3 linked regions of the Coturnix japonica genome follow. The protein of the gene in region 3 purifies or fractionates together with the protein of the main gene of each other region. This does not show direct contact. Links are inferred from orthologs where the notes say so. Each region holds a gene or a part of one and is shown on either strand. Other genes may lie near its edges.

Region 1 (9,974 bases), on a different chromosome or scaffold from region 3:
AGAAAAAAACATCACATCAGCTTAGCAAGTAACTGCTCACTCACAAACACCTCCCCCACATAAAACCTAAATGAGTATTAACATACAAAATACTTCAAATTAAAAAAACAGAGCACTTTTTAATTTCTGCTGTGGTTAGATTCAAAGAAGTTGATCTGCACAGTAGCTTGGACTGTGGAGAGGGTGGGGGTGAAGTGTGTATACACACTCTTGCCTGCACAAACTTACACATGTTTCCTGTGATGTGCACTGAATGCATGAATAATTGCCAAATGGCTCCAGAAACAATAGCCTGGACTTACTAAGTAACTAAACTACAGTTCAATCATTAAATATGCCATCATCTTTTCTGCAAAAGCATTCTGTTAAAACACGCTAAGCAAAAGAAATAGCTGGACCTTTTAAAACTAAAACCAGGAAAAGACAATACTACTGACATACATCAAACTTCCTCCCTGATGTTCATGATGAGTTCTCTGCTCTACTGTGAACCCCCTACAAACTGACTTTCTATGTTTCACTGTTTTCCTTCCACCCCTTGAACAGCATCACAGCTCATTTTGGAGAACACTAACACGCAGCTGTAGTCTATAATGAGACAAACATACACCTTTATACCTCACAAAAAAAGAACTGTAAAAAACACCCCTATTGTGCGTACATGTGCATATTTATATTCCACAAACACACACATCTTCTAATGACTGGGTAAGCACACAGCCATGTCTCTGGAAAGCAGCGCCCTGCTTCAATCAGAGTACGAGGAAAAAAATGTTTTGTTTGCTACAGTTGTAACAATTATTAACAGAAACAAAGTTCAAGGCCAACTTTACCACTATGTAGGCTATTGACAGTTTTCTAAACATGAGAAAAATCTTCACAGAAACTTTCTGAGCTGTTATTAATACTGTATTCACTGTATCTCACACTATGATTCGCTTGACTAGTGCACGTTATTAATTATCAGACTCAACATCCTTACTTACAATTTGCCATCCTTAAAAGAACGAACGAGAATATTGTCCTTTTTCACTGCAATATCATCACTGCAGTCCGGACAGACCACCTGCAAAGATATTACAAATGCAAAGTTCAGAAAGAAAGAAGAGTAATAAGGTAGTAATAGAATTTACCAATGCTTCTCAAAAACTTTTTGGGTTCATTTTTCTCCAGCAACACTGCAATGAAAGCAACTGAGACCCCTCAAAACACAAGAGCAAGATCTCTCAAAACACAGAAGCAATGCTCACCTGGAATTACTGAATACAGAGATCCATGCTTGCTGCCTGAAGGGAACTAGCTATTGATGCCAGAAAAAGGTTAAAAACATCCTCCTGACAAATACTAAGTACCTGTCATGTCTCTACAGTAGATTTTACTCCTCATCCTAGAAGGGTTAATCTCTCAACAAACACTGCCATCAGGGATCTCTTCTGAACACATCCAGAAATCACAAAGATGCCATAACCCACAATTTCAGAGGAGAAAAAGAAACAACCAAACAAATCCCCCACACACACAATTTCATAAGGAATCATAGAATCAGTTGAGTTGTAAGGGATCTTTAAAAGCCATATGGTCCAACTGCCCTGCAATGAAATGAACTAACCTACAGCTAGATCAGGTTACTCAGAGTCTCATGCAGCCAGACCCTGAATGTCTCATAAGCTACCTACTGGGAGATAATAATATCTCATGTACAAGTGCTATGATAGACTCTTTAATACAAGAAATAAATTTATTAAGTCTAGCCTAGCACGGAGACACCACCTTCAGCTTATTGCAATTTTAAAAGCTATTTGAATCTTTAAAGTTAGTATAAAAGTCATTAATTTAAAAAGTTGATGAATGCGATAACACGTACATTATTCATTGACATTTCATACTTGCAGAACAGGAAAGTGGCCCTTTCCATCATTTTTCTCTCAAAACTTGAATTACTCCCAGAAAGTTAAGAAAACTCGGGTTGATATGAAGCCCCAAGGAGCAGCAGATGACTGCAACTCTAATTTAGTCCCAGTAAACTACTCTTCTTTTAAACCAGTTGTTTCCAGTCCTACTTTGTGTTTGATACAAAAAGATACTGTACGACATACAGTCGTCTTTCTCATTATGTAGGCTGTCAGCTTTGTAGTGTTCTAGAAGTTGAAGTCAAAAGCTGCAACTGTGTGGCTTATCATACAGCACAGGTTAAACAGGCTTCTTAAGAGAAGTAAAACTTGGCAGTGCAAGTCTCCAAATTCAACGTGCTTTACAATCTCCAAAGAAAGTACTATACAAAAACAAACTTAAAATGCAGTCTGAGATACAGTTTGCAGGAATGCATCAGTATCTAGGAAAATAAAACAGTAATCATTCCCCATTTAAAATAGACAATCTCCAAGCTCTTTAAAGACTGATAAGTTGGCCTGACTTCAGCTACCGGTTTTCTAGCAGCCTCAAGTTTGTAGCGGTCAGAAATCCATTCACAGGTTAGAAAACAGCTCGCCACAATCTCATCTAATGCCTTACACACAATGGCACAATCTCAATTTTCCCTAAATCAAGTCTTCTTGATTTCCTTGCAAAACAAACTCCATTGTATTTATAGAAGAATGAGAGAGATGATCCTATGTAAGCCCAGTTTTCTGAAAAAGCTGTGAAAAGATTTCCTAACTGTAATTTCCAAAAGCCTTTAAGTATATATTCTAACTAAATAACACTATCAAGCTTACCAAGCACACTACCTAACAGAAAGAGCAACTGCCAGACCTTTTTGTTTATTTTAAATACAATTAGCCACTAACTGTATATGTATATGGCATCATTAATAATAAAGTGAAGCATTTTGGAGATGCATATTCCTCAACATATGAGGCCTGCCTTTTCAGCTTATTATCCACATAATTACAGTCAGCCATGCTATACAAATTAAGCAAAACTGCTCAGAAACAAAATAAAATTACTTTGTTGATAAAGCACAAGTAACACTTGAAAAGATAAAAAACAGAGCATCACAGATATAGGAGGGGAAAGAAGCTATTTGGGCAATACATTTATTATTTGATATAACCTTTAAGGTTAAATACCATATTTATTTGCAAAACTGTAAACCTGATTACTGAAGTAACAGTTAATCTAGGATAAGCTACTTCAGAGTTAACAAGATCCACCTTCCAACTTGATCCCTTTGCTGCTTCTCATTTACTGCAGGGAACCTTCCACACAGAACAAGCTACTCCATCCCCCAAATGAAAGCTAAAGAAATAACAGCATGCATTTTTTTTGTATACCTTGGAAGAATGAGCAACAGAGCTTCGTTAATTCTTAAGACCTAACCCCCAGTTATCCTAATTATCCATTCCACCCTACGCAAGCAGATTAGCTACCCGAGTCTACACAGGAAACACTGCTGTCGGTTATGTGGATTATCACAAGGCCTAACAGCAGCATGAGAAAAAGCAGGCCAGCAAACTGACCCATTCACAGAGTATAACTGCAGCACAGTTATCAACAGCAGGTAGGCGGTATTGTATCAAATTTGTTGACAGCTTTCAGTAAAGAAACAGGTCAGTTTTCTTGTCTGCTACTGAAAAATTCTCTTAAAGCTATCTTTCATCAGCAGGGTTATCTCATCGCCACATCTACTGCCCTCTCCTTTGCTGTAAAAGAGACTGCAATGACTCATCCTCTCCCACCAACTCTTTCAAAACAAATCCTTCTGGAAAGCCTCTGGACTACATTACAAGACTCAGGAGGTGATGACTAGAAAGTTGGAACTGAGAGTTACTGCAAACACTACCAAGAGTTTAATGTCAAAGCAGCATTGTTTCAAACAACTCTTCTTAAAATTCAATAAAAACACTGTCAGCACTGTCAAGGAGAAACGATTCAAGCATTTCAAAGTAATGCCTACTTAATTACTAAGCTTTCTTTTTACACTTAGAAGGACTTCTCTCTTAATATTGCTACTTCAGAAAAATGATATACAAAAACACAGGTTGAAAGCCCTCCAGTATTAGTTTGGTAGTAATACGTAACACTGCCGAGCTAGAAATAGGTCAATGAGCTCTGACTGTTTGGAAAAACTAAACCCTCGTTAGCAATGAGTTTGCATAAACAGAAGTATTTACATATAGTATTCATAGGAAACACTGTATAACATCCAAGAAATGTATCAAGTTCAACTAACAATGTAGATAAATCTATTGAAAAGGATACACAACAGAAACCACCTTTCTTTGCTGTCTAGCAACACACGGATCTTTAAAAAATTAAAGGTAAAATTCTTACCAAGGCTGGAAACCACAGGGTTTTCTTTTTATCCACACTGAAGCAATCGACACACACAACTTTTCCTAGCAACTCATCACTCTGTTTCCTATCATCTTCATCTTCATCGCTGGAAGAGGATGAAGATTCTTCTTCAGGACTGAACAATAGAAAAAGACTTAAAACTCAACCACTCAAATCTCCTGCCTACTATAATTACAAGCAACACAACTGTCAAAAATAGCAGAAACAATACTGACTTGAACTGAAGTCAAATATATTAAACTAATAATGAATAACATTATTTTACGTCTTCATAAATAACTATATTTATAAATAAAAAATACAGTAACTAAACCATTACAAACTCAGAAAGGCATATGTACAAGTAATACCTGCCAGGAGAGAAAAAAACAATACAGAAAGACAATAAACATCCACATGGAAGAATAGAAATGCACGACCAGAACGTTCAAAATCTTAATTTTGCCCCAGTTCAAAAATACTGTTCAAAAATACAGTGGCAGTTGCAGTTTTGAACCAACTTTAATCTCTCTATGGTTTTACTTTAACAGCCGTCATCTACAAGCCTGCTGTCGTCTTCCACACAGAACAGAATGACTATTTTAAAAGTACAGATCTCCAAATCTATGAAAAAACGTCAGCTACGAAGATAAACAGCAAAGAGAGAAAAAAAGTCTCTTTATCCCAAAATAGCTCTTTAAATAATCTGCACTGATATGTTGCAATGACTACTTCAATTTCATACAGAACAAAGTGTAGGAACATAAGTAGACAAACAAAGATGCAAATGTATTTTAATTATAGAAAGGTTTCAGGTCATTGTTTTGGCTGTTCCAGGATGAAGTTATAGCTGATTTTAACCATATGGAGACTTGAAATGTAAGAAATGGCTCCAACTAAAACGAAATGCAATCAGTTAAAAAATATATGCAGCATCAGTCGCTACACATACACACATTATTGTTTTTCTATTATTAAATATTACATTTTTGACTACTCTCTTTGCAAGTTAACTCAAAAAATACAAGCATATTCAATATGCATTTAATGCAGAATTTAAAAGCTAACTTCTGTTTTTCCCATAACTATCTCTACGCACAAAGCTCCGTGTTAACAGAAGGCTCACTTTTCGTTAGCAAAAAATGTTCTTAAAGTCTAAGCTTAACTACTCTGTTTTGTTCTCTCTACTCCACCTGACATTATTTGCAGCATTAATAAAAGCATTATTTCTCCCCAAAACTGTTTGGGTTTTTTTTAAATTAATTATTTCTTTATAAGCACATGATGGAATTCTTTTAGGGTGTTTCCTGGGCTTTGAGAAATTCTTGTGGGAAAAGAATAAGTCAAGGACAATAGAATGCCAGGGCTATCTTGGAGAGATCACAGTGTAGCTGAGCTTACCATCAGCTGTACAATTTGTCTTTTTACTCAGTTCAGTCAGTATGAACCATAAGATAAAAATAAGTGTGCTCTTTTTGCCATAACAACATCCTGTACAGTTAGGGAAACAGAGGAGAAAACAACTCAGACACCAGGGGGGCAGCAATCATGTTTGCTGTGTGTGCCAGCTTGTCTTTTTCCTTCGCTACATTACAGAAGTAAAACAAACAAACAATCAAAAACCACACACACACACACAAAAAAAAACACTAAAGAACAAAAAAAACCCTACTACCTGAACAAACACAGGGCAATGTTTGGTAGCAACTATTACAAAGAAGACAAAACATGAAGGGATAATCCAAGCACTCCAACTCCTTCCCCATCTTTGCCATTACTCCCTCAAAACTTAAAAATGAAAAAACAACAACAAAAACAGTTTTTTCATAACGTCGTTTCATGTTCCCAACTACTACAAATTCCAGCACCCAGGAAATCAAGTCACTACTCTTGACTGTTATTTTTCTATCAGAAAGCTTTGCTGCAGACCATAATACTATTCTATTTCTAAAAGCTCTTCAGAGACCCTGTAATAGGAAACCAAAAGACTACATGAGGTTTCCAGTGCCTTCTACAAACACTTCAATTCAAGCTAAACAAAGACTGTGTCATAATGTTTTTAGTTGAAATTCAATAGATTGTCAAAGCCCACTTGTCAATATCTGCCACCATTTTAAGTACTGATAACATGAAAATGATGTAATTCTTCCATGCAGCAACGCAGGAAAAGCTGACTTTCAGTCTGAGCCCTGAACAACACTTCTCATATAGCTTGCGGAGTAGTTTGTTGTTGATGATGTTTTTGCTTGTTTATAGTCTGAACACACAACAGCTAATAAGAAAACATATTGAGAGCTTCACAATTTAATAAAAACACAGATATAAAGACATTAAACTTACATATGATTTGATCTCCTTCCCCTGTTTGTTTTCTTTCCTATAACAGGAGTCCCAAAGTGTTCAGGATTTGTGAGTGGAAGCTGATCTAAAGTCTGTTGAAATACAAAAATAAATACATAAAAATACAGGCATATAAACTCATGAGAGCTGTGTAAGTAATTCTTCAAAATGCAAGTTCCTATTACCACATTAAAAAAATTTTTGCCAATACAGACTGACTCATTACCAAAGAAAAATGCTAGAATAATGTCACTGCTTTAAGGTCTAATAGAAATAGTTCTGCGTGGGGTTTCTGTGCATGTGCTTTTGCGTGTGTTTCCTTTAAAGCACTCCTTCTCCCTTATACCCAAACAAAATTAATTTTCATCCTAAACACATGTATACAAGTATTTTACCAAAGTCCTGTCTTTGGATCATCCAAAGTCAGAGAACGGAGTATCAGGTATTCTGCTGACCTGGGATATTTCATCTCTACAGGATAAATTCTTGCCTATGTCCTATCACCCAACTAACTAAATACTGAACCATCTACAAAGGTTCCCATATAAAATGAAACAGGGAGCTAACCCAGTAGCAGCAAACAAACTGATTTACTAACAAAAATGTGTAGCTGACATGGGATGCATTCCAAAACAATGTTCAAGTTGTTCCAGTACTGAGTATTACTAGCAACCAAACAAGATGGAGAGAAAGAAAACTTCCTTCGATCAGCAAGACTACTAAAACAGCAACACAAGCGCCTCAAAGACCTCCAGCATCTTCAAGGCTGCTGTTACCTATTTAAAAGGCAATATCAATTTAAAAGAATCATTCCAGATTTGAAGGCTCCTGGTATGTGTGCACTACTTGTTTTTGTTTTAGACAAGGCTTTTTCCTTCTTTGAAAGAAGGCGTAACGTCTTCCAAAGTAAACACATTCCTCTGAATTGTACCTGCAAGTTGTTTGTACTGACCTGTCAAGTTTATTGGCTGTCACAAAATAGTTTAATCACTTACTAAAACCCAATAGTAGTGATGCCTAAAGATGTATATTTATTTATTGCATACCATATTATGATTTTTTTTGCAATGGATATTTACAGATTTTTTCAACATGTAAAGCAATGTGATGGCTGCTTTCTGTGTGACCCACAATCCACAGACCATTACTAATACAAAAGTGAAAAACACAGAACATTTACTTTATTCTTCAACTTACAAAGCTTAGTGAAATTCAGCTCTATTCCCAGGTTTTAACAAACAGAATCCAAACTATTCAAGGTGTATTTTACACAACCATTATTTCTAGTCATGTGGATGGACACAACATATTAAAGACTGAGGTACAAAAGATACATTTTTTTCTAAATAAAGAGTAGTATTAAAATCAGTCACTTACCTCACTTTCTGCAAAATGCCGCTCTCCTTTTAAACAAAGTGAAGAGCGTCTGAGAGTCTTCTCATCACCATCATCAAACACTGTCACCAAGTAATACATAGTGAAGAGGGGAAAAAAAAGAAAAAAATATTTGTTTATTCAAAATGGGGATATTAGTAACTCTCTTTCACTCTCATTTAAGCTCTCTTTTGTCAATCAACAGTACTGCTGAGTTTGACTCATTAAAATTTAATCTTGTGTTAGAAAAGGAAAAATACATAAACACTTTTACAAACAGGAGGCAAAATAACAGTGTTCAGAGAATGGCTGTCAACCAGCAGAAGATGCCTGGCATGATTAGAGCTTAGTTTTCAGCCATGTCATCGAATAGCGGGTACAACACTCTAGTTCCAACATTTACTAATTAAAATATGATAAAAAAAACAACCAAGGTACATCAAAACTCCGGACTAGTATTTATTTAATAAAGAAGTAACTAGTACCTAGTTCTGGGATTCTTTTTTTTCATCCCTATAATCCACTACTATTAAAGAACAAGAAAAACCCCACCCCTTAAGATTACCATTCTGTGTTTTTCACTACACTAATTGTTGAGTATGGTTTAGTGAAAAACAGCAATTATGGATGCACACCTGACACTTAAAAATTTGTTGAAAAAGTAAAAAGGGCTGCACAAGAGAACACACCAACTTCTGAGGTACATCTCAAATGGTCAATACGCAATTAAGATCTCCTTTGATTAAGTGAAGTAGAAGGCAGCAGGATCCTAATTCAGTTAGTGTTAATTAACATAACTGAGTGTCCTTACATAATGAGAGATAAAAAAAAAAAAAAAAAAAGCCTATCCTCTTCATGGGATAAGCTGACTACAACAAGGGTAAACCCATTCAGAGCTAGGTAGGCAGGCAGGTTACGTATCCTATGTGCTAATCTGCTTGTGGTCACTTCCCTGTCAGAGGGATCCTTAACCTTGTTCCCTAACACAGTGAATGGAAAAGCACCATCAGTCTTTAAGACTGTGTGGCCACTATAGCAGATAAGGCTTTAACGCACACGAAATTCAAACCTGATGGGACATCTTCAAAACTAACTAAAAGCAGACATAAAAACACGTACTACACTTTAAAACATTGCACCTGAAACTGCAAGAAAGGAAAAAAAGCAAAACCAGCAGTATAATGATGAAAAAAGGTGCAGAAGGGAGTCAGACTACACTTCAACACAGGAACAACAGTTACTGTTATTTCTACACACCACTGCTGCAGTGGCACAAATGGTAACACATTCACTTCTGGAATGCCACTACCTCAGACCTATTCTTCCATAAAGCCTTACTTTCCAAAGGTAAGTAATTTTACTCATGGAATCATTAATGATGTAAGTACTTTGATACTTCTCACAAACGATAGGATAACATTAGATAACCCCGCTGGTTAAGAAGTGTGCTACTTCTAAAATGCGGTAAATTTTGATTATTCCTTAAAGCAAGACTTTCACTCACATATGCAAAGTCATCACTGCCTACAGGGTGAATTTCAGACCCACTCAACTCACTGTCCTGACTAAAAGATTATTCAAACCATCTACTGCTAGAGTCAGTTCTCTCTTAAATGTATTATTGTCACCAGCTGTGATGCTTTTACTGATTCTGCAAGGTCAACAAGCCTGCTTTTATCTACTAACTCTCACATCTCTCTTCTTCCTCTTTCTCGAGTGCAGGATTTTTGACAGATATCTACTTTGATTTACAAACCAGTTCCATGACACCTATCTTCAGAATTTAATCTGCACTGGCTCCTATCTCATTCTTATTGCTGAAGTATTAAATACATGCTTTCTCAAAAACTTTCTATGTGCACACTCCATTCTAACACCAGCTATACCATTCTGTTCTTAGAATCTCTCACATCTGATCTGCCTCTGTACTAATTACCAGAGGTATCTATAATATCAATTAATATATTTATACAGCATGTTTCACC
Region 2 (9,974 bases), on a different chromosome or scaffold from region 3:
AAAGCTTTAACCCAGCTCCTGCTTTCCACACATCCTGCTTAAGGAAGAGTCAGCAACACTTTGATTGGGACAGGAACATAACGACTCATCTGCCACGTTACCTGAAGGCTGCTCTCACCCCCCAATGGCTCATCTGCATTTTCAGATCATTTTTTATTGTTTGCAATGTTGATTTTCCCTTTCTTCCTCTAAAACGAGGTGTTGCTTCCAACACTGTACATGAAGAAGCAAGCAGTCCATCTCACACTGCTGCAATACCTATCTGCTCCTTCCTACCAGCCACAAAGTCCAAATCACAGAACCTGATCTCAGTTTTCCTCTTACTATCAGAAACATCCCATAGAAACGCACCAGGCCCATCTGTTAGCTCACGAGACTCATTAAATAGGGAACGCTTTTGATTACATTGGCAGCACTGTTAGGTAGTAAGGCAATCTGAGTGCCAAGCCATAGCCTACCGCTATATAATCTATTTAGGAATTTCTTTAGGCAGTTTCTATCCTTGTACATAAATACATTTCTCAGTAACATAACATTTTCGGTTAACCAGACAGTTAGAATTGTATCTGACTCTATAGAAGATCCTCCCCTTTTCTTCTCAGTCTTGAGAGAGAAAAGATCTAAGCAACATCTAGCTAACTAAGTCATTAGCTCACGTGAGTGACCAACGCTTGTGTTCCATACTGTGAGCAAAGCCTGCTTGTGGGGCAGCTTATCATCATCATCATCAGCCCATGCAGCTCCTCAGGCAGCACACTGACCTTTCACTCTGACGTCGCTGTATCTCTGGAAGTGGTGGTAGGCGGCTTTCCAAGGATTGCGGTAGTGGCGGAGCAATGTGATGGGAGGCCTGGGACGCACCGGGACATACCTCACACCTTCCTCATCTACAAAAGGGATCACAGACAGCTGTGTTACTATTGTGACATGGGAGACCAGCACGGCAGCAATCGTGACAGGCAACAGGTAAAACACAGATGTTCAAGTAGGAGAAGAGTGTCAGAGATGGCATTACCTATATATTCCTTGGGAGGAGACTTGCGCTTCTCTGCCTTCACCAGCAAGCTTTTGGCAGTAGATTTCTCATCATCAGTGCTGTTTGTTTCCATCATGTCTCCCTCCTCTGTGGAGATGACGTGCTGCTGCTTACGGGGTTTTTTCCTTGGGGAGGCACCAGGCGGCAAATCACTTGGAGGCATCGAAAGGTTGTTGGCCAGCAGTGCCAAAGATGGAGAGACAGTACTTGTAGTCAATGGAGGGACTGCTGGAAGGAGAGAAAGGAGAAGAACCTCAACTACCAGTGGCACAGAGGTAGCAGTACTGTGTTTTAACACCATCTCCTCTCAGTGCGTTGTGAGAAACATGGGCTCCACCACAGATGCAGTTCATCCCTTAGTATATGAGAACCAGGACTCATCACTAGGACAATGCCTGTATTCTAAGATCCTCAGAACAAAAAATGACAAGAGACTGTTCTCACTCAGTTCCTTCACCTTCAAGGCTTGCAGCAGTTGAATGCTATTGAAAAGGAACCTGTGCTAATATCTCTCACATGGTCAGTAAAGAAAACATCTTTGAATTGATGTTTCACCACAGATCACAATCAAAAACAGGCAAGTCCCCTCTTCAGTGCAGGTAGAGGCAGATGTAGTCAAACCATGACTGCAGTGCTCTCCTTGTCAGTGCACTTATACTGCCAAGTCAACAGCCAGTGTCAGCAGGCTGCTGTACAAACCAACAGACTGCTGGAGCTTGGCAGCACAGCAGCGGGAGCCTGAGGGGAAAATAACCCTTTACATTTGCAGGGACTGAACCAAGCGTGCCACGTAATACACAGCAAATGTCTGGGATGAAATCTCAATTGAGATTAACTGCACTGGTTTGTATTATACTGGCTCTGCTGCTGACTGTGTTCTAAGCATGCAATTCATACACTCTTTGCAACTGGACTGTTTGAAAATGAAGAAAGCAGCTCCAACCCCAAGTGGTTTCCACAGGAGATCAAGGAGAACAAGGCAAATTAGAACCTAGAGATGCTCACCTAGTTGCTGTTCTGCGGTTCTTAGTACCTGAGACAGGAACCCTCTCAGACGCTGCAATGCCCTTTCCTTCTAGGAGTTACTAACTTGTGTCAGCTTAACCTGAATCGTTGCTTTCCATTTTATTTACTGGGCCATTAAGACTTCATACTGTGCTCATATAGCATGTCATACCTCAGTCATGTCACAAAACCAAGTCCCTTGTTCTATATTGAAAAGCAGTAGGCAGGGATCAGAACTATAAGAAAGTGAGGCGTGAAGGAACTCCTTGACTTATTTTCTGTGCTACTGTGAAAGAGAAGTCATTCCATTTTCAGGTTGCTTGTGTTGAAATCCTAATTTATCCACTTTCTCAACAAGAGAAACACCTTGATGCTTCAAAAACCACCTACCAGATACCGGTCGCATTATGTCCATAGGTTCCACCTCCTCTTTGATTTTTATCTCTGGCACCACAGGTCCCAGCACTGCTGAAAGGGCCCCACTCATGGTTGCTGGAGGAGCAGGAGCAGCCACAATTGTGGTAGAAGTCGGTGGAGCAGCTGGGACGGCTCCTGGAATGGTGGACAGAGCTGCTGCAGGCTGCGAGGTGGGGCTGGCTGCGGCAATGATGGTTGGAATGGCAGAGGGGGGCTGCTGGGAGGAAGGAGGAACCGCGATGGTGGGCTGCTCACTGCCTTGGTTGGACACAGCCTCCATAGACACTGTGACAGGAGTGGCCATGGACACGTGAATCTCAGGTTTTGGTTTGGCACTGTGACATTGAAAGAAAAGTAAAACAAATTGATGTCAACTGCATCTCGGTCACAACCTTCTAGCACAAAGTAAATGAGACCAGCTGGACTTGGGTCAGTTTCTTCCTGTACCAGTAACACCTGGCTGGGTAATGACTGTAGTAGCAGGAGTGTGTGTCATCTCAGCTGTGCTCTCTAAGCCCTTTGTCTAAGGTGCTGTTCTCTTCTAATGCACATGCACATCTCACGACTGACTGCAGATGGCCTCAAAACGCTCACAAAAGGAGCAGTGCAGCTTCACAGTGCAAACAAATAGAACGTGTGCCCAAAGCTGTACTGCCCTCATCCTTTTTGTGAGAGCTCACACTCTGGGGCTAGTGGTTTTAAAACAATGAATTACAAAAGCCACCGGATACAAGTGAAGCAGGTAGAATTCAGCTTCCTTTAGAGTTAACGTCAAAGAATTATAGAGAAAAGTTCTACAGCACGGCCTTTAACACAACATGGTGATTTTCTTGTCACTACCTCCACCCAAACTCATAACTGTACCCTTTAAAAGCCCATCGCCTCAGCTTCGGAACACAAGTACATCCATTCAAACTCATCACACTGACAAATATAAAACACCTTTTCCAAAAGAAAGCACCTCAATGCCCAAACACCACAAATCAGACACACAAATGAAGCCAGTACGACGTAGTTGCTTTTCTCCCTGTCTTACCCAGCAGGCCTTGGTGATCCAGACGTGCTTCGCATCGTATTCTCAACACGTGTGCTCGCTACTTCAGGTGGCTGAGGTGGAATTAAGCTTTTCCGGACTGCCAGGCTGTAAGACAAGGGCACATCTGAAGTTCCCACCTCTGATGCAAAGATAAACACCACTGAAAGGAAAGGAATCAATCCCCTCTTGCCAAATCCAGGATCGGAGTCAAATCTCTCTCTGTGTGCACTCACTCTAACCAACCTGCTATAGAAAGTCTTGTTCTTAACCAAGCCTCTAGGTTTTATTTTCTTTAAAGATAAGAGATTAGTTGCTCTGGCTGAGACTCCCTCACATTTGGGGTTTCTCCAGAAATACCAGCCTTACTTTCACTTTGCCAGTCAAGGCATCTTATTGAGACTGCCAGGCTCCAGATGTGGGGGGGGGGGGGAAGGGAGATCTGGCCACACCAACATCCCACATAACCTCAGGACAGAGCAAATTATCCGGAACTAAACAGCACAGCACTAAGATGGGCAACTGCTTTACTTAGTTGGAGCAGACTGTGCCAAAGCCTGGCTCCAGGATCTCCAGACCTGCACGTGGACGTTACACAGCTCAGTGCTGCACACAGAAAAACATTTAAGAGACTTTTCAGTCCCCTGTGAGGCTGAAAGAAAGACTGTCTTCCAAATAATCAGACGCTCAAATGGGAACATTCTCCGGTGATCTGCAGCTGCTTCTGTAATTTATGCCTTGGTTTTACAGCTTGCAACTTCTCTGCCTTAAAGGATTCCACCCAAATGAAAAAGAAGCACCACGGTTTAGCCTCATAGCACATATCAGCTCCAAACATATTCAGTCATTAATCAGGAGGAAATGGATTGTTAATTCTAATGCTTTCTCCTGCCTCTTTTATTCAGGCAATTGAAATTAAGCTAGAGAACATGAAGTATTTTAAGTGATTCCCTCCCCTTTCCCTAATCAGTTTGCACAGCAGGGTACCAATCCACCCTTACTATTCATCCACACACCCTTCCAAGAAAAGCTCTGAAAGCAAAGCATGGATTTCTAATTTTAGTAATTGACCTCTTTGGATTTGAGGCTTTCTTGCTTAGCTTAACAAAAACCACTTTCCCTTTAAAGGTCACTTTCAAAAGACATCTTATTACAGAGAGGAGGAAGCAGCTATGATCCATCCTGGAGGAGAAGAAACTGTGCTTCACAGATCAGCAGGTCACTTGCAACCACTTGCTGACTGTATAACGTCCTATCCACAATCAAATACTGCCATGTAGCTGGGCTAGATTGAACACAGGTGCCATTTCTGCGTCCCCCCTTCAATCTTACTCACCCATCTGTGGTTGGTTTCTTCCGCAGGATGCTGGGGCGTGGGGAAGAGCCCTGTGCTGGGGCACTGGCACTCTGGCTGTGGGTCTGTACAACTGTAGTTGCTGCAGAAGCAGTGTTGAAGGTGTTGCTAATAGGGTTGGCTACAATGGTGGCTCCATCTGCCAGTACTACTGCTGGGGAGGATGGATGTTGGCAGAGCAGAGAGAGGAACAGAGGAAAAAGGAGCAGTTACTGAAGGAGGTCTGACAACAAAGCAGGTGTCTGCAGAACAGATGCTGTCTCTGCTCCTTTGACTCCCCCAATATTTAGCTGCAGCGCTTCCAGTACTCTATAACTAACACCATAACTACTACTAATCTGCCAACAAGGCCTCCTGCAGGGCAGATAACAGCCACCCCCTGCCTAACAACTACTGGCTACAGAAATACTTCTTCCAGAAGAAATGGAAGACACACAAATTGCCAGGGAGGTCAGCAACACAACAGGGGCTGCTGGTGGAGGCCACGTGGCAACTTTGAACTTTGTAAGTGAGCTGGCAGCTCTGCTCAGATTCTGAGCTGCTCACCAAGCCCTGCCAGGAAAACTAACATGCAGAACAACAAGGCAGGGAGTCGCAGTGCTATCTGCCAGCACAATGGTAGCTCCTAGCTGCCATTTTCCCTTCAGTCCATCACTGGGATCTGATCACACAAACCCTTCCTTGTGAAAAAAGGGCTTTTAATCACAGTCTGAACTGGAGGCACCTCACCATGTTTTACTGCTGCAGTGACCCAACACAGCTGTAACAGTTCAGTGAGCATCTGCTTGTAAATAGCTCTTCCCACAAGGATGGACTGAAGAGAACCAATGACTGCACTGTCAAGTTTTTCCTGCACACACAACCCATCCAACACTACCCATATATTCTACCCAGAGTGCCTGAAAAAAGCCAATGAATTGCATTCACTAATTATTTAGTGAAGGAGAACATTCATGGGGATGTATCTGATCCACCACAATGTCATAACCCAGAGTTAAAGAACCCCCTTGAGGCAGAGCTGTACAGGAGTTATGGGTTCAGTCCACTCACCTGAGGTCTTGGTGTCAGCCTGTGGCTGCTGAGCGCTGATGGGCGCTGGCTGCAGCCCCTGCGTGCCAATGGGTGCAGCTGGGTGCAGTCCTTGAGTCCCAATTGGTGCTGGCTGGATGCCCTGGGTGCCGATGGGCGCCGGCTGGATGCCCTGGGCACTGATGGGTGCTGGCTGGATGCCCTGGATGTGGCGGGCATGGGATGCATCCACAGTCATCAGCTGCATGGGGTTGAGGTGCACAGTGGATGCCACCCCGACACCCGTCTGCGCCGTGATGGCCGAGTTGGGCGCCTGGGCTGAAACTGTAGGCAGCAACACGGACAGCTGGTCATGCCTGGCTGGGCACTTCAACCCCACCACCTCTCACCCTATAGGTACCCCCATAGACTGCTCTTCTGAAAGTCAACTTGACATCCTGCTTGAAGCAGGAATGAGTTTGAGAGCAGCAAGGCCATGCTGTCTGCTAGAATAATACCACTACTTTTTCCCCCACCCCATATTACAACAATGAAGATCAACGTTAGGCTAAGGTTATGTTTCTAGACCCAGTCTCAGAAATCTGGGTGCTCTTTTTGCTCACTAGAGTATTTTCTCATTGTTTATTTTCACACAAAGCTTCCAAGTACCCACAGTTGGCACCTTTCCTGCTTCAGCACCCTGGAAGCCTCGAGGAATTCTTTCCAAAACACAGTCTTGCACAGAACTCATTACATCAATTAATAACATCAACATCTTTGCCTGTACAAAAGCAAGTGGAGAAGACAGACCCAAGTGCAAGCACCTTAAAACAGTGCTCACTTCCCACATCTCTCACCACATCAAACAGTTCCACTTCACACAGCTGGACAAACCATTCTGACCCAGAACACAATCTTATCTGACCTAGAATGCAATCTTATCTGACTCACAACAGGCAATTACAGGCTGATTCCTGCAGCTACAATGAACGCAGCATCTTTGCGGCGTTCCCAGTGACGCACCTAAACTGAAAAGTTCAGCTAATTTGAATGTACAGCTCTAAGCAACTATGGTCACATCTTTCCAGACCTGCCCTAAGTCGTGCTGCACTTCTCACAGGGAACATTTAGTGGCCACATTGGACTTCCTGCAGTTCTCCAGAGCTCCAAACATGACACAACAGCAACATAATTTCTGCAGCCGTGCACAGAATGAAGTGCTAACTTGCAGCAATGAGCTTGTCTGCTAACAATTGAGAACGCTCTCAATTGAACGAGCTGGTTTTGTCACAGGATTTCCATCAAGTTCTTGTGCTGACCAGTCCCTCTAAAAACAGCTATCTTAAAAGCTAAGATACAGCACCAGTCCCTGGAAATGGCTCCTATTACCACGTCTGCTCAGGGTACAGAAGGTGAAACACTTGTCGCAGAACTGCCCATCCAACAAAATCATTTTGGAGACTGCGGAAGCACAACTGGCTCTTGGAAAGCCAAAGCTGACCCCCTTCCTCAAAGCACAGAGGTAGCCCTCAGCTCAGTGATCTTTCAAAAGGTTTCCTCTGTACTTTTTGCTAAGTCCTCCATGGCTGTCCTCAGCGTAGGTTTGCATCCCTCCTTGTACCGTGTTCTCTGCTTTGAGGTGTCACCAGTTACTGCCCTAATTAATACCTTTAATTGATGCTTCAAATCAATGTAATAAGCAAAATAGCTCCACTGTCCATATCCCAACTCATCATCCTGAAGCTCATGACTTACAGTCAAGACCTGAAACTTCAATTTCAACAGCAACTTCCAATGTCACTAACAAAGAACAGGCCTCAGTAACACATAATTCCCTATGCATATTTTCCCAGTCAGCAAATGGACTTTGCAACTTCCATGTCCTTCCAAGGCCACTGTACTGGTCAAGAGCAACATGCTACCAGCAGACACTATGAAAACCCGAATTAGGCATTTTCTTAGAGTTTGGAAATCACCATATCTGCCCTAAGCTACTCAGCAAGGTGAAGTGCTCCAAGTTTTTGTCTCAAGAGAATGACCTTAGTTTGGGATGACTGCACTGGCTCACGTTATATGTGATATTTTTTTCCTGTCTCTCCACAAACTACTGCAACAATTCAAACTGGTTATCACCTGATTTTTGTCAACACAACACCAAGAGGTTGCAATGCAACTTGCTTTCTGCTTTCAGCTCATACTTCTCTCTCAGACCATGCAGTCATATGAAAACATATCAAAAACGTGCTTCTCAGAACATGAGGGAATGAAGATGGATAACGAGCTTATTTGCTTTGGAGGAACTCCTTTTTGATCTGTGAAATCTGACACTTTAAAGAGAAATTCTGGATACTGAGTATGAAACTCACACCAAAATGGTCATTAGCTGTGTGTAGGAGGCCTCTAATGTAGCTCAGTGCTCCTTTTGCTCATGCTTTCCCCTCAACCAACAAGAAGTCAGACTCAGTGCCAAGTTACCAGAATGGAGCGTACAATCCTCTCAGCTGCTCCCAAATGCTGCAGGTGGCACACAAACAACTGAGCAAAGCATCAGCAGCTCATCCCACAGCTCCTCACCTGGGTACTGGCGGATGGTGGACACCGAGCTGGTGATGGGGGTGTAGGTGTGAGCAGTCAGCGGGTAGGCAGAGGGCGGGTAGGTCGGTAGGAAGTACTGGAACTGGACAGGCACCGACTGCCTGCAGGCAGCAAGAACAACAAGTGTTACACCACTACACCTGCCTACCTTCACCTCATGTCTTTGGGCCGCTGCCCAAGTTTTGTCATCACATCTGTCATATTTATTAACTCTTGCGATTAATTCAGAACTACCAAATCTCTCTCAGGACTTGTTCCCTGGGGTATCAGAACCCAGACAAGTAGTAAGGTACTCAAAAGCTACTCACACTCTCTTATTCATAGAAATGTTATCTCCTCACCTGTTGTCATTCCTGGTTTCCATTGCTACTGGGTTTGGAGATGCCCGGTGACTAGAGAGGGGTATGAGGTTACTCCTCTCTGCTGTATAATCCGACTGAATCCGGGGAGAAGTATGTGTGATTTGCTGAGGAACCACTTTAGCTGCATAAAGACAAACAAGTCATCAGTCAGAAAAAGCTGGGAGACGCTGCAGAGTCAAAATTAGTTCCCAAAAATCCCCAACAAAAATCAAGACAGAAACAAGCCACACTGAAAAAAAAACCTACACAAGACCAAATACCACACCTACTCTAGCCACAAAGCCCCAGCCCCACTGTAAAGAAACCCCCAACCTCCAATCATTTCCTATCCGCAGTGATGATACATTGCTTCAATAGGAAGCATCACAGAAAGGCCTGGGTTGAAAAGGACCATAACGATAACCTTGTTTCAACCCTCCTTGCTATGTATGCAGGGTCTCTATTGCTCTCTATAACTTCCTGAAGAAAGGTTGCGTGGGAAGGAACTTACAAAAACCAGCTAAGAAAGCCCTATTGCCAAGCAGTTACAACTCCTAGCACATACAGTGCAGGTTCTGAAATGCCAAAAAGCCTCTGTTTGTCTGAAAATTCAATTGAGTAAGTTAATGAGCCATTTTATTACTTATTTCTCTTAGAACATCAATTTCTTTCTGGCACTGAAATAAGCTGTGCCACAGCAGACCTTCTAGTTGATTTCTCCCTGCTTGGATTGATTTGTTTCCCCTCCTTGATGTTCCAATGCACACAAACACTGCTAGCATAAACAGTACAACCAAAGTACCCAGCACACATTGCTCTTGGAACTGAAATCACTCACCAACTGGGATGTTTGAGGTTGTGACAGCTGTAGCATGGGAAGAATGGGAGGGCATTGTCATGGTGACAATGGTGCTTGTAGGCGCTTGGGTGTGAGAAACAGAACCTAAGAAAAAGAACAGACAGGATATTTCTGCAGAGCTCTATCACATAGAAGTAAAACTAACTATATCCAATTAAAGAGTGAAAAAACCCAGCCCAGACAACCCCTGAACTCAGCAGCTTCTCTCCTGGATTCTAATTATGCACTTCCAAATGCAGTCTTTAGCAGAAAGGAAGGTTCCCTCAATTCCAATTAGATTCCAACTTCAGCATAAAGAAACAAGAAAACCTCAATCCACAACCCTC
Region 3 (10,074 bases):
ACAGTCATGTTCTCAAATGATTTTCATCTCTGTTCTCTGTGTATATTAGACTTGCTCCAAAGATGTGCTGGCCAGGCTGCTTTTCTTTGTGCTTTCTTACCCAGAGGTAACTGGGAAGCTGTGCCAGCAGCGCCTCGGCTGGTTCAGTGCCTGTCACTACCCTGATCTCATTCAGTCATGTGGATTTCTCCGTACCTGAGAAACCCCTCCACACAATGCTCACCAGATTCCTCAAAGGTAGGATTAGCCCTGGGGATGGCTACAGCCCGAGCAAACATCTAATCATCCATCTGTTATGAGCAAGATCCAAGTAAGAGTAGTATAAATAAACAGAGCAAGAAGGAGATCATACGCATTTCTCTAGAAATACCATTTTGCCTGTGAGCTTACACAAAGGCAGAATAAAGGTCTATTTGCCTTTGTGCTCAGAGATGCACCATCCCCACTTGCAACTGCTTCAACAAATGAGAATAGAGAAAGTGGGTCATTTTGTCGCCAGGACAACAAAAGCACACACTGACCTAGATATGTCTAAGGGAACCTAATCTTGCTGTTGGCACAGACTAAGGGATTCAGGCAGTGTTGGGCGTTTCCAGTTGGGGAAGCACAGCACATTAACAATCTCAGATTGTTTTTTTTTGTCTGCAGTATCAGGAACAGACTTCCCTCTTTGTTTCTCACAGCAGGCAGTGCAGTGATGGCACTCAGTTCTGATTACCAGCTGCTGGTGGCAGGTTCCCAGGATGGCTTAATGCTAGTCTGCAAGATGGAAGTTACAGAGATGCTGCACACCCTCCCTGGTGAGCATTCTCCATTCTTTATGGTCGGATAGCTTCTTTCAGGTCTGAAAAAAGCCTTGACAGCTTGGCCATCACCTCTTAGCCATCAGCATTCTGCCAATTGCTGAAAGCACCAAGAATCCCTTGGTTTGTTAATCCTCCTCTCTTAACTCATAGCCAAGGTGAGGTGTGTGAAAGCATTTGGAAAAGGAACATGCACTGTCTCAGCTGCCATGGATCACTGCCTGTGCACCTGGAATTTGATTCCTGGCAGAGTAAAGTTTGTTATCCAAGATGCACATATTGAAGAGCACCCCTCCCATCACCTTCACTGGATGAGAGGCACATGACTGTATATTCTTCTGCAGACACAAAGGTACAGCCATTCCTTAAGGGTGCTGAAAAAACAAGCACTTAAGGAGCTACAGCCACAATAATGGATGTTGTGTACACAAAAGGTAGCTCAGGCCTTGCTGCTTCTGTCTCTTCTGCCACCTCTTCACTAGGTCAGTGCTTCATATCTGGAGACAGCACTTCATGAAGGAAAGCAAGCAGGTCAAATGCCTCCAGGTGCTTCACACATTCCTTTTAGAATAACTCCATATTAGCAGTTGCCCAGTATCTGCCTTGCAGTGTTAGGAGCAGGATATTTTTTCCTTGGCTTTGCTGGTGTTTCATTCAAGTTAGTCAAGCTATATCATTCCACCTCTTTAATAGGTACACTGGTATGCAAGTATGATGGCATTAACAGCGAATTACTGCCCTAAGCTATCAGGAAGAGCCAACCAACAGGATTCATGGCTCCCCAAGTCCTGCGCAGAGCTGTTTAAACTGACAGACAGCGTTCAGGTCTGATTCTGAAGCACCTGGATACATTATCAAGGTGCCAACCCTGTCTAACTGAAGAAGCACTATGTGTAATAGTGTTACTGTTAGCACTACTATGACACTAAAACATCAGTCATGGGAGTTACCCATCTACAGATTATTCTTGCTTATGCCAACTAAATGAAAAATATGTCAAATCTGTGACAAGAATAAGTCCTCCCAAATTAACAACAGCAACAGAACAGGATAGTTTGGGCCAGCTCACACCCTCCTTAAAGGACTGCTCTGGTAAAAATCTTTAGTAATGTTTTAACACTACTCTTAAGTACTGAATAACCACTGAATACTCTAGGGCAGCCTCACCTCAACCTGTGCTTTCCATGTCACAATCTGATCCCAATCACCATCTGTTTTCAGTCCTGAAAAGCATTCACTGTGCATGCTTCTCAAAAGATGACCAATACTTGGACACAGGATCAGACCATCACAGTCTGGAATGTTGCAACTGGTGAATAACTGAATTGTTAGCAACATTGAACAGCCTTAGAGCACCCTACATGCTTCAAGTTTGAGTTAAAACACCCATGTGAATGAATATTAGATCAGAAAACAGCCTAATATCTTGGCCAAAGCCTGCCAACAAACAAAGATGACTTTACTAAGCCACAGTTATTTCAGCATATGCACTATGCTTCCTTTTTCTCAGTTCCCACGAGCAAACCACAGCAATGCGTTCGACTTACCCACCTTGTATCACTACACCGGAGTATATATCCCAGAAGAGGGTAGAACACTGTAATGCTATAATAACAAGTTAGCAAAGACTTGAATGCAGCAAATAAGAATGAGCTTGAATGCAGCGACCATAAATTCAGAAACTGAAGAAAATAACTGCTTACCTTTGGAAGGCCTCAAGTAAGCAGGGATCTCCAACCAGAGATACCCTCACCTCCACAGCCAACCCTTCAATGAGGGCTGGGAAGGGGTGGATCCTGGCTCCACCCCTCCATCACTCAGCAGCACTGCTTGCACCTGAGCTCCCTGGGTTGGCCCTGCCTTCCCACCAGGTGTTCCAACACTGTTTCAGGCCATGACATAGCATTTCCACTACAAATATCAAAGCCAAAAGCTGAAATCCCAGCACTACAGCTCTCAGCAAAGGGTTCAAATAGCAGTCAAGTTAATTGCAAATTCAACCCAAGGTCTCTATGAGACATCCCTATGGTGTCCTATGGAGAAACAGACAGCATAGCATACTGGTTTCCCTCTCTCTCATGTAGCAGTAGTGGTCCAATTCAACAGAGTTCAGTTGTCTGCTGGGAAAGGAAGCAGGGGACATGCATTAGGGGAAGCCCAAAGTTAGGGATGTACATTAAGCCCTTTGCTCTGTGCCTGGCCCCACAGGTGCCTTGCTGGTGGTGCAGCGCATGCACAGCACTGCTTGTAGGATCATTCCCCAATGCAGATGGGTTTGTGGCCACCACGAGGCTGGGTCGCATCATTTGTGAGAGGTTCTGTCGTCCCACAAGAGCCTCTTCTCAGCACACCACCACCACAGCTCTGTGCAACGACATCAGAGGGAGGGACAGGAGGAAGTGCAGCACACAGCAGTGTGACCAAGGAAACCCTTCTGGGAGCCTGATCTGGACCGACACGCTGTCCCACATCTGCTCGGTGCTGTAAAAGCCAAGATGAATAACCTGAAACAGCACAAACAGCCGCTCCCCTCCCATCTCATCTCATCCCATCCCATCTTATCTCATCCTGCTTCAGAACGATGTGGTTGAGTAGCCCTGCAGGTCCCCTCGCCTTCACAGCACGAGCCACCGCTGCCACGTACCACAGAACGAGCGTGTAAGATCAGCGAATAAGCAACAATAAATAAAGACGGTGTTTGATCCACAAATGCCACAACGGGCGCTGGAGCTCAGTTTGTGCCCTTTAATCGCGGCCCAATAGGAGCGGCCACCGCGAGGGCCCCGGGCTCCCGTACAACGTCCGTCCGTCCGTCCGTCCGCCACCCGCCGCTGCCCGTAGCGGTCCCGCATTGCTCACCCCGCGCAGCCCCGTCCCTCCCTCGTCCCGCTCAGGTTTCCCCGCCGCTCCCGCCGGTGCCGCTGGAAGGGCCGGAAGCGTCGCGCGGTGCGGGCGGTTCCGCTCCGGGCCGGGCCGGGCCGTGGCGCCGTGCGCGCTGACGCAGACGCTCCGCACGCGCTGACGGGGGGCGCGCGGCGGCGGCGGCTCCGACTCCCAACATGGCGGCGGGGGGCGGCGGCGGCGGCCGGGGGGGCAGCGCCCCGCGATGGGGCGGCGGCGGCGGCGGCCGGGCCGCGGCGCAGGAGAAGCTGCCGGTGCATGTGAGTGCGGAGCGCGGCCCCCCGGGATTCGTCCCCATCCTCGCGGAGGGCGGCGGGGAGCGGCCCTGCCCGCCCCGCCGTGACCCGCCCCGCCCCGGTCCGGCGCCGAACCCGCCCCCGGGGCCGCGGGGCGCCCCTCTGCTCCCACAGCCCGGGGCGCCCCCGCCTTCCCCCCCCCCACACTCGGCCCCGTTCCCCACCCCCGTTACCGCGGCCTTCCCCCACCATCCTCCCGTCCCCTGATCCCCCCCTCGGTCCCACAGTTTCGGTGCCCTCAGCCCCGCTCCGGTATCGCGGCGTTCCCCCGGGGTCTGTTCCGTCTCACCGGCGCTCTCAGCGCGGTGGGGGTGTCAGCCGAGGCCTCTGCAGCGCCCCGGGCCTGTGCGCCCCCTCCCCGGGGCCTCAGTAGCATCCCGCCCACAGGTGGAGGATGCGCTCTCCTACCTGGACCAGGTGAAGATCCGCTTCGGCAGTGACCCCGCCACCTACAACGGCTTCCTGGAGATCATGAAGGAGTTCAAAAGCCAGAGGTAAAGCCCGGCCCGGGCTGCCCCGGGGCTGTCTCAACCTTGGGGGCTTCCTCAGCCTTCACCCCATGGTTCCCCTGTCCTTGCTGGCCCAGTTGTTCCACGCTGGAGGTGATGGAGGAGGTGTCCATCCCAGTGCCGTCTGCTTCCTTGTTTTCCAGAGCAGAAATCCATGGGAAAAGAACAGTGTGTTTTTACATCCTGCTCTGAAACGCAGATTTGGAAAAACAGATGAAGAATTTTAAGAGTATTGCTGAGAGCTCTCAGTCTTTGTGTGGTGCCCATATTGGGTAACCTGCATGTTCTTCTCTATGGAGAATGTTCCCAGTGGGTGGCTGCAGTGGATGCTGCTCCTTCCCTCTGCCTGGGCTCACTCCTAGGTCTGAAGATTCCAGACTTGTTTTTGATGAGAATGGCATCTGGCTTCTCACCTACCTCTGTAGTTTTTTGGCCTTAAGTTGTATTTCTGACATAACACAAGTAACAAAATTCTTCTCAATTTTAGCATCGACACACCCGGAGTCATCCGACGCGTCTCACAGCTGTTCCACGAACACCCCGACCTCATTGTAGGATTCAATGCTTTTCTCCCTCTGGGATACAGAATAGAAATTCCAAAGAATGGGAAGTTAAGTATACAGTCACCGCTGACAAGTCAGGTAGGTTATAAAGCTCACAGTACTCCAAATAAATCCTATTAATATATTGCTTCGCACATCTCTTGCGCTGTTTAGGCTATGTACGTTTGCATGTATTGCACATTGCAAAAGTTCTGACCTAGTTTTTAAGATGTGGTAAGGGCTACAATGTAAAACTGAAATACATCTTGTGTGTGATGGTTGGGTACACATTGGCCTCTCCTTTTTTCTTGTTACTGTGCAGCTGTGGAGGCCGAAATAGAGTTCTTACTGAATTCTGCTGATAAAGTTGTGGTTTAATGCTGATTAGTAGCAGTATGTATCTTTCAGATCTTTCTGTTGCTCAGGAGTTTAATGTTTCTTAAAACTGACATAGAACAGTGGTAACAGGAACTGCAGCACACATTACCTGGTACAGCCTCACAAGTGTGGATAATGCAGGGACAGTCAAAAGCAGCAGTGAGTCAGACTGTTTACCAAGTCAGATATGGCTTATGGGTTTGTTTGTTTTTAACTCGTGGTGTTAATAACACAGGGAAGAAAATGTATTAGCAAATTAAATCTTTTTTCCCCCCCACATTTATTTCTTCATGTGGTAATCTGTTTTAGCTAAACATTTAAAATATCAATGCTAGGATGTAGTTGCACCTGTGTTTCAACACGAGTCACTGTCTTGTATGTCTTATGCCACTAGGTGCCCTCAGAGCCTGTTCCCAGCGCCCTCCCTGGCAGCGGGCTGTTGTTGCATTACTCACAGGAGAATTCGCACAACCACAGTGACTGTACTGAGGAGTTTAGGCACCAGCTTCCGTACAAAGAAGATAAATCCCAAATCCCTTTGGAGTCCGATTCTGTAGAGTTCAATAATGCCATTAGCTACGTGAATAAGATCAAAACGCGCTTCCTTGACCACCCAGAAATTTACAGATCCTTTTTAGAAATTCTTCATACTTATCAGGTAAAAAGCCTTCAATGTAAGATAGATTATGGGTTTGTGGTGTGGCTGCTTGAACAGCTATCAAATGAGACATCAGGCTTTGTGCAACAACTGCCTCATAGATATTCATATGAAATGACAGAAGTGTGAAAACTGTCGAACCTCCTGGGCTCTGAGATGCAGAGGGGTTGTACGTGGATCTGTCTTCAATAACCTTCAGCTGATGTAGTGATAACCTGTGGGATAGGAGCCTTGGACTGTCTAATAGTTATATGAAGTTTATGTTGTGTTTTTATTTTGGCTGCTGTGAGTCGTGTGTTTGTATCTGTTTAACATCTGTGTGTATCTTTTCAGAAAGAACAGCTTAACACTAAAGGTCGACCCTTTCGGGGCATGTCAGAGGAAGAAGTATTTACTGAAGTAGCAAATCTGTTCAGAGGCCAGGAGGATCTCCTCTCTGAGTTTGGACAGTTTCTTCCAGAGGCTAAAAGGTCTTTGGTATGTGTATGCTTAAAGCAAGGCAGAATATTTAATGCTGCCTGTTCATATGTAGAATGCATTATGGAAAGACTCACAACCTGTAGATGAAATTCACTTCTCTTCACTGCTTGGAATTTCACAAAACAAGTCACTTAACTACATGCTCTTTGTTCAGATAAACAGGATTTGTTATTTGTACAGACTGAGGAGAGAGCATTGAAACGATGATTTGTTTTCTTCAGTTCACAGGAAATGGACCATGTGAAGTGAATAGTGTCCAGAAAACTGAGCATGAAAAGAATCTTGAGCACAGCAAAAAGCGATCCAGGCCGCTGCTGTTGCGTCCTGTTTCTGGCCCAGCAAAGGTATCTCTCTGCAAGTGACCTCATATTACTCGTTTTGTTTATGTAATTCCTTGGGTAAAGTTGTAATGAGTAGTGACTGTGAAGCATGTAGGTTAGGTACAAGGGGGAAAAAAATCAAAACTATTTTATATAATCTGCAAGGAAAGCATTCTAAGATGTATATGGTAGCATGTTGTATACTGATCATCAAGCCTTTAGGTGCAGAGTATTGGTCCTCAAAAGGGTAATTCATGGCTTCTGCAAAGGAAACTTTCTTTGGAATTCTTCCTGAAGTGATCCTTCTCCTCCTCAACTAGGATTCATTTGATACAGATTGCTGTGGAGGACTTGACATAGCAATGCTAGATTGCTGTTCGGGAAATACCGATGATCAGACTTTGCAGAGAGCTGTTCTGTGTCAACAAGTGGAGTTTGATAGCATTTGAATGACAACATATTAAGTATAATCGTTTGTTCTTTTGACAGAAGAAAATGAAACTGAGAGGTACCAAAGATCTGTCAGTAGCAACAGTGGGAAAATATGGAACGCTGCAGGAGTTTTCATTCTTTGACAAGGTCAGTACACGGCCTGTTGTCACGCTGTGGGCTTACTTTAAACTTGTTATTATTTATTTAATCTGTGTGTCAGCACTTAGCAATTGCCTGACTTCAAGTGGCAGAGGGAGGGCAGACCAAGAAAAAAGCAAATAGATGGGTTTGGAAGAATGGGAACTGATCATTAGCCATTTCCCGAATGCTTGTTTCTATCACGTACGTTTTACTGTGCTTTTCAGCAGCATTTCCTGATAGTGACTATATGTAGCTATTAAATTAATGTTTGAAACTGAGACTTCTGGGGAATGTTCTCTTTTTATGCTGCAATGCAAATAGAGGTTGGTCTCCATACCTGTGGTTCAGACTCCTTAGAATATGAACACTAATTAAAAGTGACATTCAAGTGGTTTGATAATTTCTTTCCAAACTGTCTGTAGGTGCGTAGAGTACTCAAAAGTCAGGAAGTCTATGAAAATTTTCTCCGTTGCATTGCTCTCTTCAACCAGGAGTTGGTCTCTGGTTCTGAGCTGCTCCAGTTAGTTACGCCATTTTTAGGGTAAGTTACTGATTGCCATCTCTGCTGCATTGGCCTTTTTCAGCCTTGCTCTGTTAATTTTTGGTAGGTGCTGTGAATTTTGTCACTGAAGCTTTGAATTCAACATCAGAAATACATTTTAGGTAGCATGCCAGCAATGCAAAGCTAATCCACAAAGAGAAATAATACAATTGGAATCTTTAATGTAGCTACCCAACTCTTGGGGAGCATTCTGGGGAGGAGCTTATTTAGGTTTCATGCTTTTATGACAAGTATTAGCCAGCCTAAAACTGTTGGAATGAAATAACATAGGTCATGCTTATTTGTGTTTTTTGAAGGAAATTTCCAGAGCTGTTTGCACAGTTCAAGTCCTTTCTTGGTGTAAAAGAGCTTTCGTTTGCTTCTCCACTGAGCGACCGATCCGGAGATGGAATGAGTCGGGAAATAGATTATGCTTCCTGCAAACGCATTGGATCAAGTTACCGTGCTCTCCCAAAAACCTACCAGCAGCCAAAGTGCAGTGGGAGAACAGCCATTTGCAAGGAGGTACTTTGGCATCATCCACTAAATCCCTGCACAAACACTGTAATTATGTAAATGAAAGTACAGCTTCTGCACATGGGCTCCTCTTTAACTGACTATCCCTCTTCAGTCTTGTATCAGTTATTCATCCAATTCATTGAAATAAGAGTATCCACATTCAGCTTGTTAGATTTATCTAAACACATCCTCAGTCATGTCTTTCAGTGTAATCTCTTTTGAGGGTGTTTGCATGCACAAATTTATTTGAATGGACAAAAAAAAATGGAAGTTATTTCTCTAGCAGTGGACTCACCTTTGGAAGCAGTGTTTCTCCTGAAAGAGCACTGTGAGCCAATGCCATAGGCACTGCTGTCACTGAGAACAGACATCTACTCCCACTGTTCCCTGTTGTCTACTTTACTGCAATATCTGCTTTGAGAGAAGATAGTGAAGCTGCTTGTGAACTCTGATGCATTTCTACACAGACCTTTAATTATCTAGGCATAGTCATAATAGTGTTAGCTAGGCTGAAACTTGCAGTAGAAACTTAAGGAAGAACTGTTCAAGAATAAAACAGAGAAGTATCAGAGCTCTTAGAACAGCTCTGGCTCCTAAGACATTATTCAGTGTTGTATCTTTGCACTCTTGCAGGTGTTAAACGATACCTGGGTTTCATTTCCATCCTGGTCTGAAGACTCAACTTTTGTCAGCTCCAAGAAGACTCCTTATGAGGAACAGTTGCACCGCTGTGAGGATGAGCGGTTTGAGGTACCTCTGCTGTTCAGCTTCCATTCTCCCTCCTCAGAAAACAAAACTTTTAGCTGTTAAGGCTTTTTACTGAACTAATCATTACCAAATACTGGAAGCTTTATTAGTGTTCATTAGTTTGAGCAAGAGTTTGGGGTTTTCCCACTTGCTAACAGTTCTTTTAGGCATGAGTGCAGTTCTGGAAAGCATGTTACCTTTGGAGAACTGGCATAGGTCTATTTTCCAGTAAGAAGCCTTGCTGATGCTTCTTAGCTCCACCCAGCAGGCAGCAGATCTGAGCACTGCTCAGCTCCATTTTCCTGCGCTGTTAAACTGTGTCTCTGTGGACTCTTTAACAGCTGGATGTTGTCTTGGAGACCAATTTAGCCACAATACGTGTGCTGGAGAGTGTGCAGAAAAAGCTTTCTCGTCTCACTCAAGAGGATCAGGAAAAATTTCGGCTGGATGATTGCTTGGGAGGGACATCAGAAGTGATCCAACGCAGGGCCATCTACCGCATCTATGGTGATAAAGCACCAGAGATCATTGAAAGTCTGAAGAAAAACCCAGTTACTGCAGTCCCAGTTGTTCTTAAGAGGTAATTCCTGTTCTCCCACACTCACCTGGGATCTTAAAGAAACCAACACAGGATTGTAAAGCTCATTTTTGTTTTTTTCATTTTTTTTTTCCCCCAATAAGTAACTTGGTTTTTACTTCCTTACATTATAATAAAGTACAGAAATAGGAAATAAAGTAGATTTTGTTTACTTCTGAAGTGACAAATATTTTAGCAGCTCGTTAGAAGCATCTAAAATGTTTCAGTAG

Evidence for each region.
Region 1: the proteins of SIN3B (region 3) and ARID4B purify together in Homo sapiens (affinity purification with mass spectrometry; 3 studies listed by BioGRID and IntAct, with this or other methods). This does not show direct contact. The link is inferred for Coturnix japonica from reciprocal best matches to the Homo sapiens genes SIN3B and ARID4B.
Region 2: the proteins of SIN3B (region 3) and SAP130 purify together in Homo sapiens (affinity purification with mass spectrometry; 3 studies listed by BioGRID and IntAct, with this or other methods). This does not show direct contact. The link is inferred for Coturnix japonica from reciprocal best matches to the Homo sapiens genes SIN3B and SAP130.

The regions. Positions count from the first base shown.
Region 1 is NC_029518.1:34,282,590-34,292,563, reverse strand, and holds part of ARID4B (AT-rich interactive domain-containing protein 4B), read right to left. Parts: intron 8,073-9,974; coding exon 7,993-8,072; intron 6,708-7,992; coding exon 6,616-6,707; intron 4,412-6,615; coding exon 4,273-4,411; intron 1,067-4,272; coding exon 987-1,066; intron 1-986. UniProt on the Homo sapiens protein: Acts as a transcriptional repressor. May function in the assembly and/or enzymatic activity of the Sin3A corepressor complex or in mediating interactions between the complex and other regulatory complexes.
Region 2 is NC_029524.1:1,636,127-1,646,100, reverse strand, and holds part of SAP130 (histone deacetylase complex subunit SAP130), read right to left. Parts: intron 9,733-9,974; coding exon 9,628-9,732; intron 8,932-9,627; coding exon 8,790-8,931; intron 8,550-8,789; coding exon 8,428-8,549; intron 6,199-8,427; coding exon 5,896-6,198; intron 5,000-5,895; coding exon 4,828-4,999; intron 3,600-4,827; coding exon 3,495-3,599; intron 2,794-3,494; coding exon 2,432-2,793; intron 1,265-2,431; coding exon 1,016-1,264; intron 888-1,015; coding exon 762-887; intron 1-761. UniProt on the Homo sapiens protein: Acts as a transcriptional repressor. May function in the assembly and/or enzymatic activity of the mSin3A corepressor complex or in mediating interactions between the complex and other regulatory complexes.
Region 3 is NC_029543.1:3,320,937-3,331,010, reverse strand, and holds the start of SIN3B (paired amphipathic helix protein Sin3b), read left to right. Parts: upstream 1-3,881; 5' UTR 3,882-3,964; intron 3,965-4,387; 5' UTR 4,388-4,471; coding exon 4,472-4,494; intron 4,495-4,996; coding exon 4,997-5,150; intron 5,151-5,823; coding exon 5,824-6,087; intron 6,088-6,420; coding exon 6,421-6,564; intron 6,565-6,788; coding exon 6,789-6,911; intron 6,912-7,376; coding exon 7,377-7,466; intron 7,467-7,882; coding exon 7,883-8,001; intron 8,002-8,318; coding exon 8,319-8,526; intron 8,527-9,153; coding exon 9,154-9,270; intron 9,271-9,608; coding exon 9,609-9,847; intron 9,848-10,074.